3 linked regions of the Cricetulus griseus genome follow. The protein of the gene in region 1 purifies or fractionates together with the protein of each later gene. This does not show direct contact. Links are inferred from orthologs where the notes say so. Each region holds a gene or a part of one and is shown in the gene's direction. Other genes may lie near its edges. The genes, in order: Fam53c, Dyrk1a and Dyrk1b.

Region 1 (3,648 bases):
TCTGCTAGTCTGTGTTTCATTATAGCTTAGTGCAGCTGAGTGCCTTTCCCTGTCTGTGCTGAGCGTTTTCCTGTTTAATGTAATTGTACATTCCTACACTGCATGGATCTGTAGTAGTTTACCTAATCCCTGCTGATGGAGATTTGGGCAGTTTGCAGTCTTCTAATTTTGGGGTGTGTGTGCATGTATTATATATGCACATGTGTATGTATGGATACTATTGCACTAAAGCCCAAGGAGGATGTCAGATGTTCTGTTCTATCCTTCTGCTTCACTACTTTGACACAGTCTTTCATTGAACCTAGAGGTAGGCTGGCAGCTAGCAAGCCTCAGAGAACTTCCTGTCTCCATCCTACAGACTTAGGTGGGAATGCCTGGCTATTCGTGCTAGGATCTAAACTCTGGTTCTCATGCTTACAGAGCAAGTGTTCTCACCTACTAGCCACCTCTCCAGACTAGTTTTCTATACCCTACCCAGAACTGTCGTGAATAACTTTGTCCCTAGGTTATTTTTGATATGTGAAAAAGCATCTGCAATGTAAATTCCTATAGTATGAATTAATCTCAGGACCTATGAGTATGAGCATAAAAAGACAGACAGAAGCTGTCTGACCCATGTAAAGACTGCACATGTCTCCTTTTCTGGGATACCCAGAAAGGGAGGTGAGTTGGCAGAAGCAGTTGCATTCATTCTCTTTCTCTTAAGCACTTGTTGAAAGCCAGGTATTATGTCATAAGGATCCATGATCCTGCCTTAGGAAAGTTAGTAAGGTGAAGAACTGTTGACCAAATACTTGCTGTCATCAAGTCTGATTTAAATACTTTTATTTGTGCCCTTTCTAAAGAATTACTGAGAAAACTTGGAATAGGCCCATTGTCCTGTAGTGAGCTATTTCCCCCAAATCTATCTTATGTGGGAAGGTAGAGGCAGTAAGATAAAAGGTGTTCATGGTCAGCATTGGTTATATAGCAAGGTTGAGGCCGGATTACATGAGACCCTGTCTCAAAAAAAGACACTGTTGGGGGATGGGGGCTGGAAAAATGGTCAAGTGCTTGCGTTATGAGTGTTTGGATTTGTCAGGGTCTCCAGCATTCACAGAAAATCCTGGAGTGGGCAGAGTCTCTAATTCAAGTGCCTAGAGAAGTATAGACAGGTTGGCCAGCCAGCTTATCCAAATTGATGAGTGACCGGTTCAGTGAGAGTCCCTACCTCAAAAAAATAAAAATAAAAAAATGGGGGGGGGGGAGCAGACAGGTTGTCATAAAGTGCTGGATGACCTGAGTTCATCCATAGGACCCACATGACTTCCCAAGTTGTCCTCTGATCTTCATACACATGATTGTGGTGTTGGTACACACACATACACGCACACACACATGCATATACCCATAAATAAAATGTAATTTAAAAGTAAAATGAGGTAGAGAGCCATTGAGCAAGACCAGATGTTGACCTCTGAGGTCAACGTATGTGGGCTCTTGCCCATACCCACATGAACATGTACACACATACACACACGAACACATGCACACACACACCCATACACACATAACACGCACACACGCTCACACACTCTCTCACACACACACACTCACTCACTCTCCCACTCTCCAAAAGTTACAGTTTTGGTTGGAATGTAGTGAGTAAGGATCATTCCTTTTAGCCTGTTTCCCTTATCTTTGTCAGACATAGGAAGTTTGCTTTTATGTTATTTATGTAGCCCAGGTTTGCCTCAAATTCAACATGTGATTATCAAATAATTACATGAACTCATTTCCTGCTTCTCCAGAATTCTGGGATTATAGGTCTGAGCTACTATACCCACTTGTTCCTCCAATCTACTTGACATTAAAAGGCCCAGAGCCTGGCATGGTGGTATATACCTTTAATCCCAGCACTTAGGAGGCAGAGGTAGGTGATCACTGTGTGTTTGTAGTCAGCCTGGTCTTCATAGCAAGTTTCAGGCTAACCAGGGCTATATAGTGAGAGCTAGACTCAAAAAAAAAAAAAAAAATTTTTTTTTTTCCAAAAATTTATACTGAAGGTCTAAGGGGGAAGGGAACCAGAGTATACGCACAGACATAAAAGAACAAAAATAATACAGAATCTTAGAGTTTTTCTAGCACATGTTCTACCATCGACCACCAACATCTTCCTTGCCTTCTCTAGCAGTAAAAGCAGTTGCTTGATTACTTCCACTAGACAGCACTGCCCTCCTTGGTCCTGGTGACATGTAAGAGGAAAAGACCAGGGAAGGCGAACATAGGCCTGATTTTCAGAAGGCAGGCTGGGAGCAGGGAGAGCTGGGTTGTAGATATGATTGGTCTAGAATATTGGGGGTGAGTAGGTCATACACAGAGACATACAGGTTTCTCTTCACGGTTTCACCTTAGAGAAGTGGCAGACTGTGTAAATGTTCTTTATTCGAGGATGTTCTTAGGACGAAGGTAGCATAGTAAAGGTTGAATCCTATTTTGTTCATTTGATAGCTACATGCTTTGGAGCCAATTAGGCTGCAGTCATCTAAAAAAGGGATAATCATGGTACCTCCATGAAGATTTTTGTGAAGCCACACCAAGTATTGACTGCATTACGTGATGCATAAGCTCTTATCATATGTTCGCTATTGTTAATACTTTTTATTATGAATGCCTTTCAGAAGGTGCTTCCTGGAGGGGCCTGCCCCACTGTTCCTGTGCTGAGTTCCAGGACAGCCTCAACTTCAGCTACCATCCCTCAGGCCTAAGCCTGCACCTCAGACCACCCAGTCGGGGAACGTCCCCGCAGGAGCAGCCCCTCCCCCAAGTACTAAGACCTGAACCCCCAGACCCAGAGAAGCTTCCTGTGCCCCCTGCTCCTCCATCCAAGAGGCACTGCCGCTCACTCTCGGTGCCTGTGGACCTGTCTCGTTGGCAGCCAGTGTGGCGGCCCGCCCCCTCCAAGCTGTGGACTCCCATCAAGCACCGGGGCAGTGCTGGAGGGGGTGGGCCGCAGGTGCCTCACCAGAGCCCCCCGAAGCGGGTCTCCAGCCTCAGGTTCCTCCAAGCTCCCAGTGCCTCTTCTCAATGTGCCCCAGCCCACAGACCCTACAGCCCTCCTTTCTTCAGCCTGGCCCTGGCCCAAGATTCCTCTCAAACCTGCGCCACCTCCCCTCAGAATGGTTCTTGGGAGAGTGATGCTGAGTCCCTGTCACCCTGCCCACCCCAGCGCCGCTTCTCCCTGTCACCCAGCCTGGGCCCACAGGCAAGCCGCTTCCTGCCCTCTGCCCGGAGTTCCCCTGCATCTTCCCCCGAGCTGCCCTGGAGACCTCGAGGTCTCCGAAATCTTCCCCGAAGCCGCTCGCAGCCTTGTGACCTGGATGCCCGCAAAACTGGGGTCAAGCGGCGTCATGAAGAGGACTCCCGGCGCCTACGGCCTTCCTTGGACTTTGACAAGATGAATCAGGTGAGACTGGTAGACCAGAAGAGCATGGACAGAGTGGAAAGACTGTTGAAACATCTCCTAGCACCACCTTCCTTGTAGGTATATCTGGAAACTCTTCTCTCTAGAGTTTATTCTAGGAGGACCATTCTGTCTTGCCTGGAACTATTTGAGTTTTAACCTTTAAAGTCTCCTGTCCTGTCAGATTAGTCCTTGGTGTTCAAAGA
Region 2 (3,648 bases), on another chromosome or scaffold:
GATTTCAGTTCTTTTAGATTTTGCTGTAGCTGTTCACTTTTTACCAGTTGAATGTCCCTAATCTGAAATTGTTAAATGCTCTCATTTCAAGTGTTTCATACCAGAGTAAGGATGTTCAACCTGCATTTTCTTTTGTGAGATTATCTTCCAGTTTTGTCCTCCCCTACTGGATTTTCAGGACTTTTCATTCCCATGTAACTTTTATTAAATAAGAACTTAACATTTTGTGCTAAACTAGTGGTAGAGACAGCTTTTGCCTTTTCAGAGGTTACATTGACACAAGTAAGCAGCAAAACACAAAAATGGCAAGTGATACTTACAGAAAGGGAAAGTCTAGAGGTGTGCGCCTCTGGGGAGTTACCTTCATGGTGGTGGCAAAGCCCTGGGCAGTGCAGACTCCAGTGCAGGCAGCCAAGGCTCGTGAGGTATAGTGACTAACAGACTAACTGCACACTATCTGAGTAAATCTGAGAGGATGCAAGAGTTTTCCCTCCTTGAGTGTAACAGAGAAGCAGCTGATGCAGTGTCCAGAGCACTGCTGTGTCGCCCCCGTGTGACTCCACGTGCCCTCAGGTCAGCTGCCCAGGCCATGGTGCCCAGCAGACAGACCTAACTGCACTAGATACAGTGAGTGACATCTAAAGTCACGCTCATTTCAGCCACAGTTGTGCTGATGGCTGTGCCCAGCATGAAGGGGGCTGGAGAGTCCGGTACAGTCATGTTGTACATAGAGGGGCACATCAGTAGCCTGGCCACAGAGGGCTGGGGCAGCATGAGTCAGAACATCCGGGAACTCAGGAACTGACATGGCGATTTTAAAAGGGGAATGTAAGCAAAGATTAGAAATAAACGTGCTCTTGATGGGAGAAAGCAGCAAGTGCAGATGCCATGAGTCTCAGGTCAGGTCAGGGTGAGAAGGGTCTGGGGAGATTGGGATCCAAGTCCGTAAAGGAATGAGTTGATTTTTGTTTTGAAAGGATAGTCTTGCTTTTCTCAATGGGTTGAGAAGAACAACTGTGGAAGCGGGGGGGCGGGGGGGGGTGTTAAATTTTTTATTTTGTGAAGAGGCCTTTGCATTAGCCTAGGCTAAGTGGTAGTGGTGATGGCGGTAAGAAAAGTGGTCAGATTTGGGATCTGGTCTGAGGTATCTCTTTGGTACTTCATGCTGGGTTGAGTCCGGAGGAATTGTCAGACATCTGGGTGGATACGAGTCCTTTTATTGTATCAAGAGATCTGGAAGGAAGAGGGACTTCAAGGGGAAATGAAGGCTCTCATGGACCTGCCAGATGTCCTGGTGGTTCCTTATAGAAAGCTTACTGACCTGGTGTAGACGGTGACATGGAGACCTGGACATGAGTGTAACTTCTTAAAATTGGCTGATTTTAATTGTAAAACATTTTTTGCTCTGGAATTTACATAGAATTTTATGGTATAGAACTATCTAGTGTGTTAAAAGCTTCAACAACCCCCACCGCCACCAACCCCAAGTTCACCCACCTGAGTGCAGATGCTCAGGTGTAGGTTAAGCTTGGAAGCAGTGCTGAATAACCCTTCCTTAATGTCTTCCCTCACAGGTGCGCCAGCCATTCCCGGCTCCTCTGGGCTGGTCAGGCACTGAAGCTCCTACACAAGTCACTGTTGAAACTCATCCTGTTCAAGAAACAACCTTTCATGTAGGCCCTCCGCAAAACGCATTGCATCATCACCATGGAAACAGCTCCCATCATCACCACCACCACCACCACCACCACCACCACCATGGACAGCAAGCCTTGGGTAACCGGACCAGGCCAAGGGTCTACAATTCTCCAACAAATAGCTCTTCTACCCAGGATTCTATGGAGGTTGGCCATAGCCACCACTCCATGACATCCCTGTCTTCCTCAACGACTTCTTCCTCCACATCTTCCTCCTCTACTGGTAATCAAGGCAACCAGGCCTATCAGAACCGCCCAGTGGCTGCTAACGCCTTGGACTTTGGACAGAATGGAGCTATGGACGTTAACTTAACCGTCTACTCCAATCCCCGCCAAGAGACTGGCATAGCTGGACATCCAACATACCAATTTTCCGCTAACACAGGCCCTGCACATTACATGACTGAAGGACACCTGACGATGAGGCAGGGGGCTGATAGAGAAGAGTCTCCCATGACAGGAGTTTGTGTGCAGCAGAGTCCTGTAGCTAGCTCGTGACTACATTGAAACTTGAGTTTGTTTCTTGTGTGTTTTTATAGAAGTGGTGTTTTTCCCAAAAACAAAGTGCAAAGCTGCTTGAATCAGAAGGAGATTAACACACTGAACCGCTACAAGAGGGCAAAGCTGACTTTTTTAACTTGAAAAGATTGCAAAGGGACAGAGAAGTTTTTCAGAGCCATGTCCACCTGTCTTCATGGAGAGCTCCCAGGTGCCCTCTTTTTGTCCCCCCTTTTAACCTGCCATCTCCCGGTCATAGTGGGTTTGTCTTTCTATCCAACAAAAGTTAAATGTTCAGATGTTGGTCTTGGTCATTTGCCAACTAATTTTAAAATAAAAAGGCACTGCACATAATTTGCATAAAGGGCCCCATAAGGGTGTTTTGTTTTTTTGGTTTTTTTTTTTTTTTTTCATTTTTATTTTTCTCCTTTTCCCCATGTTTTGTTTTGTTTGGGGTTGGGGTGGGCTGGGAAATAAGGGTTTTTATGTCCTCTATACACTTGGGCACGGAAATGCAGTACTGTAAGGAAGAGGGACCTCCAGCTCACACAAACACCATCTTCAGCTATGTGAAAGGGACGATTGTGTTGGAGTTTGTAAGGCACATTAAGCATGCTAAGTGGCGGGGACCAGGACTCTCCTATCTGAACCCACCGAGGAGCGAAGCAGCAATCCCATGGGATCCTGTGGGTCTCCTTCCTGTTGGAGAGGCCCCGGGAAGATGGGAATGGAACAGGACTGGTCTCCTCAGCAAGGTGCACTGAGAAGCAACACCGCGCGGGTCAGTTGTGGCCAGTCCTGGGGAGGTCTGAGTGGTGGTCTTTGGGATGACCTTTGGCCTTATGGATTTGGACTCGAAGTTAGAAGAGCCTACCATTTCAGATACAATCACTTGTGGACATGCGTTTGCAGACAGTCCTTAACCCTGAAAACACAGAGAATGGGTAATTCAAGAGGCCTTTCTTTTAAAATAGACTTTTGTGACCCACTAATTGTAAGGTATTGCAAGGTCACTTTGCGTGTGTCATAAAGCTGACCCCTTATTGGTTGAAGGCCACAGATGTAGTGGTTTGCTTTGATGGAAATAGCTACAGCTGTGCCCTTCCTGCTTTTTACCTTTTCTTTGGCTTTTTCTCGGCACGTGGTGTCTTCACCATTTCTTCTGCACAAAGACGTCTTCTGTTCATCCTGAACATTTTAAAATGCAGAATTTTATGTGACTGCTTTTTTGCCTCACAATTATGCTGTGAATTTTACAAAAATTTATTTTCTTTTTTGATAATTTATTGTACCAAAGCTGTTTTTATAGCACATAGATGTCTGTAACCAATAATGTAGCAGTTCTGCACTTTGACACAAGGTGTAACTAGACCATTTTTAAATGTCAGTGGAAATTATGGCTGTACTATTGCTTAAACAAAACTGGAACTGTTGTTGAATCCATAGCAACACA
Region 3 (3,748 bases), on another chromosome or scaffold:
CATGCGCCCTTCACCAACTTTCTGTGCGCTTGGGGGGGGTCGCTGCCTGGGAAAGTCTCATCCGGTCACATGGTGCATGCTCCACCGATGGCTGCTACGCATGTGCGCAGCTCCGCGCCCTGAAGGCGCAGGCGCGCCGAGTCCCCCTGGGTCACGTGGGCGGTGTGGGGGCGGAGCCAGGACAGGGGGGCCGGTTTGTTGTGGTCGCCATTTTGCTGGTTGCATTACTGGGTAATCGGGGCCCTGGCTCGCCGCGTCCGCCGGACACCTTCAGCCAGTGGGGAGGTCTGAGCTCGGGCTCCCCGAGCAGTTTGAGTCCCCTAACCCACGCCCTCAGGTAACGGTGCGGCGGGCGGCCGGGCTGGCGGCCGGGCCGGGCTGGCGGGGCGGGGCGGCACGCGTGGATGGGGGGCAGGCCGGGATCCGCCCTGCCCGTCCCCGCGAGACTTAGCGAGGCGGAGGAGGGGGCTTGGGGCCGCGGCGGCCGAGCCCCGCTGTTTCCAGCCGGCTTTCGGGAAGGGGCCGAGCCCGAGCCCGAGGGAGCCGTCTTGGGAGGGAGTCTGGGAGGGGGCAGCCCGGCCCCACTCCCGCCCTTTGTTTGGGCTCGGCTGCGCTGGCCGCTTCGCTGTCGCCTAGCAACAGCTGCCCCGCGCGCCGATTGGCTGGGCTCCCGGCGGCAACAACCAATGGCGTGGTTGTTGCCATGGGAGGTGCGGCCTGCCGCGCTCATCGGGGCCCCGCCCGCCGGGACTCCACCGGCCGGGGCGGGCCTGCCGGGTGGGGGGCGGGACGCCAGGGTCCCTGGGGCGGGTGGCCGCGCGGGCGGGGCTGGGCCGTAGGGCGAGGGTTAACCCGCCCCTCCCCCGTCCACCTGCTGTCCCCCTTCCCCCCGCGTGCCCCGGTCTGACCCTCGTCCCCTCCTCTCCCCGCCCCCCCCTGGCGGCGGCGGCGGTGGCGGCGGCTGCTGTTGTCACCCACCGGGGCCGCCTGTCCCGCTCGCCCTCACCGCCGCGGGGCTGGCCGGGCCGGCCGGGCCGGGGACAGGCGGCCACCTTCTCATCGCCGCCGCCACCGCTATGCTGGCCGTTCGCCCACCGCACTGGGGGCCCCATCGCTCCCCAGCCCCCCGTGGGCCCGGCGCCAGCCCTGACCCGGGTAGGGGTGGGAGCTGGGAGGGCCGGGGAAGAAGAGGTGGTTTGTCCCTGCAGCCCCCCGTAAAGGGGACCTGGAGTGGCGGACGGAGGAGCGTAGGGTCGAAGGGATCTATCTGACTGACACCGGGGAGGCTCTTAGGTAGAAGGTTCTGTTCTGGAGGACACTTTTCAGGGAGCCAAGACGTGTGTGTCGTGTAGGGATTCGGCTGTTGGGCCCTTCTAGGAATAGGCTCAGTTGTGGAGTGACCCGGTTTAGAAATAATTGGCTAGGAGGGGGGACCGCAAGGGTCCCAGTGTTAGGGAGAAAGAGACAGTGATTCTTAAACTGTTGAGAAACGACACCTCCCTCTTGTCTTCCTTAGTAGCAGGGGTGAAATCCTAAATATAGGCTACTTAGAAGAAGGGTCCCTGGCACGGGATACCCCGAATAGGGAGCGGGGAGCGGTCTTGATGGGGTGTCGAGTTGGTCTCCGGGCAGGGGCAGAGGGCGCCTTGGTGGTTGAGACACCCGTAGCACTCACACATAACACGAGTTCCCAGATAACCTTGATTTTGCTGGGAGGTCCGCAAGGACTGCTATGGTGTGAGCTGTCCGGGAGTTCCCTAGAGTGGAAAGAACTAGAGGCTAGACTAGATTTGAAATGGGGCCCTCAATGTGGCCCAGATCCTGATGTTGAGGGGAAGACCATGCGAGGGCGGGGCCTTATCTGAGCGACTCGGAATGGGCACCAGCAGAAATTCAAAGAAAAAATGAATTCTACTGCTCAGACTCTACACGGTTTCCGGCTTCTCTTTTGCTCCTCCAATTACTGGCCTTTCTCTGCCCTTCCTGCCCTGGCCTTGCACGCACTCTCTCCCACCCCTCTGGCTCTGCCCATTCCCTTGTATGTTTTCCCACTGTGTTGCCGCATTTATTCGGCTGATCATTTGTTGAGGGACACTGCTATGCCAACCCACTTCCCCTCTGCATTGCTACCGAGTGCCTCCCCTTGCTCTGCCCTCTTCTTCATGCCCACTCTCCTGCGTGGCCCTGACCTACATACCCTCCTGTTCCATGGTGTCTTTCTGCTCCCTACCTGCTCTCAGGTCTCAGCGGCGGTGGCAGCCGAGGTGCAGGATGCGAGAAGGCGCCCCCCGGCCGGGCTCCCGCTCCAGGCCTCACACCCTTGCGGCCCTCTGAGCCCACCATGGCCGTCCCACCAGGCCATGGTCCCTTCTCTGGCTTTCCGGAGCCCCAGGAACACACACAGGTAGGCATTCAGCTGGCTTCTCACCTGCCTGGGGATAGGAAGAGACTGAGGAAAAAAAAGGGTCTCCAGGCGGCAGCAGCATGATTGTTGGAAGATCTCTGAGGATGTTGGCGGCCTGGTGACAACTGGAAGAATTTCAGGTGGCGTTTGGAAAGTCCACACTTATTACTCCTGCCATGAGGACTGAGTTATTGAGCTTCTCCATGGCCCTCCATCTCTGGTTTCAAGGGTTAAGAAAATTAAGTGTAATGTTTGTTGGGCTCAGAACTGTCTCTGGCACACAACAGACCAGAACACAGGTCTTGGTGTCCACAAGAGACAGCGGTTTGGAGTGAAAAGCCTGGAGAGTGAGCTGAGGGGAGTGGGAAACCCAAAAAGTCTGATCCCCATCCCAGCGCTTTAAGAACTGGGCACAGACATGGAAATACAGGGAATTCAGTGGCCTGGTTCCCAGAAACAGTGGTCTTGGGTACAGAGAATCCAGGTTTCCATTTCAGTGCATCCACTGAGCTTTAGAAGGTAATACAGACAGAAAGCAGATGAGCTGACCAGGGGCTGGGTAGACGGTCATTTACTTCATCATGCAACGAGCAGCTGTCTGGGGAACCTCAATGTTTGACAGGCCCCATAGAATGGGATCTGACCCTGGGGAAGCTCTGCTCTTGTGCAGAGCTAGGTAAATGTGGGTATGGCCAAACAGCCATCGGCTTTACCCTTCCTTCTCTCCCTGGAGGCTGGAGGTGAAGGTGCTCTGTGTCTGCCCCTGTCCCCCACAGGTATTGCCTGATGTGCGGCTACTTCCTCGGAGACTGCCCCTGGCCTTCCGGGACGCAACCTCAGCCCCGCTGCGCAAGCTCTCAGTGGACCTCATCAAGACCTACAAGCACATCAATGAGGTGGGTGCAGCGGGGGATTCCCCCGGCTGGGTGCTGAAGAGAGTCCTGGCTGCTTGCCAAGGTCACTCAAGGGTCCGTTTTCCTGGCCGCCTGAGCAGGTATACTATGCGAAGAAGAAGCGGCGGGCCCAACAGGCGCCACCCCAGGACTCGAGCACCAAAAAGGAGAAGAAGGTCCTGAACCACGGTTATGACGACGACAACCACGACTACATTGTGCGCAGTGGCGAGCGCTGGCTGGAGCGCTATGAGATTGACTCTCTTATTGGCAAAGGCTCCTTTGGCCAGGTGTGGGACTCCCCCACTCATCCAGTGTCTGGGTGCAGACAGCCACTAACCCTACCCACATTCCCTCCACCCCCAGAGTTCTGTCCTGGGCCAGTCTCTCAAGCCATTCAGTTTCCCTCTGTCTCAGTTTCTGTGGAAGTGTAAATAAGAAGACTCCACAC

Evidence for each region.
Region 2: the proteins of Fam53c (region 1) and Dyrk1a purify together in Homo sapiens (affinity purification with mass spectrometry; 8 studies listed by BioGRID and IntAct, counting the BioPlex papers as one, with this or other methods). This does not show direct contact. The link is inferred for Cricetulus griseus from reciprocal best matches to the Homo sapiens genes FAM53C and DYRK1A.
Region 3: the proteins of Fam53c (region 1) and Dyrk1b purify together in Homo sapiens (affinity purification with mass spectrometry; 3 studies listed by BioGRID and IntAct, counting the BioPlex papers as one, with this or other methods). This does not show direct contact. The link is inferred for Cricetulus griseus from reciprocal best matches to the Homo sapiens genes FAM53C and DYRK1B.

Annotation. Positions count from the first base shown.
Region 1 is NC_048595.1:202,726,411-202,730,058, reverse strand, and holds part of Fam53c (protein FAM53C), read left to right. Parts: intron 1-2,660; coding exon 2,661-3,445; intron 3,446-3,648.
Region 2 is NC_048597.1:3,174,538-3,178,185, reverse strand, and holds part of Dyrk1a (dual specificity tyrosine-phosphorylation-regulated kinase 1A), read left to right. Parts: intron 1-1,574; coding exon 1,575-2,195; 3' UTR 2,196-3,648. UniProt on the Homo sapiens protein: Dual-specificity kinase which possesses both serine/threonine and tyrosine kinase activities. Exhibits a substrate preference for proline at position P+1 and arginine at position P-3.
Region 3 is NC_048602.1:7,917,657-7,921,404, reverse strand, and holds the start of Dyrk1b (dual specificity tyrosine-phosphorylation-regulated kinase 1B), read left to right. Parts: upstream 1-977; 5' UTR 978-1,076; coding exon 1,077-1,155; intron 1,156-2,240; coding exon 2,241-2,404; intron 2,405-3,180; coding exon 3,181-3,300; intron 3,301-3,398; coding exon 3,399-3,587; intron 3,588-3,748.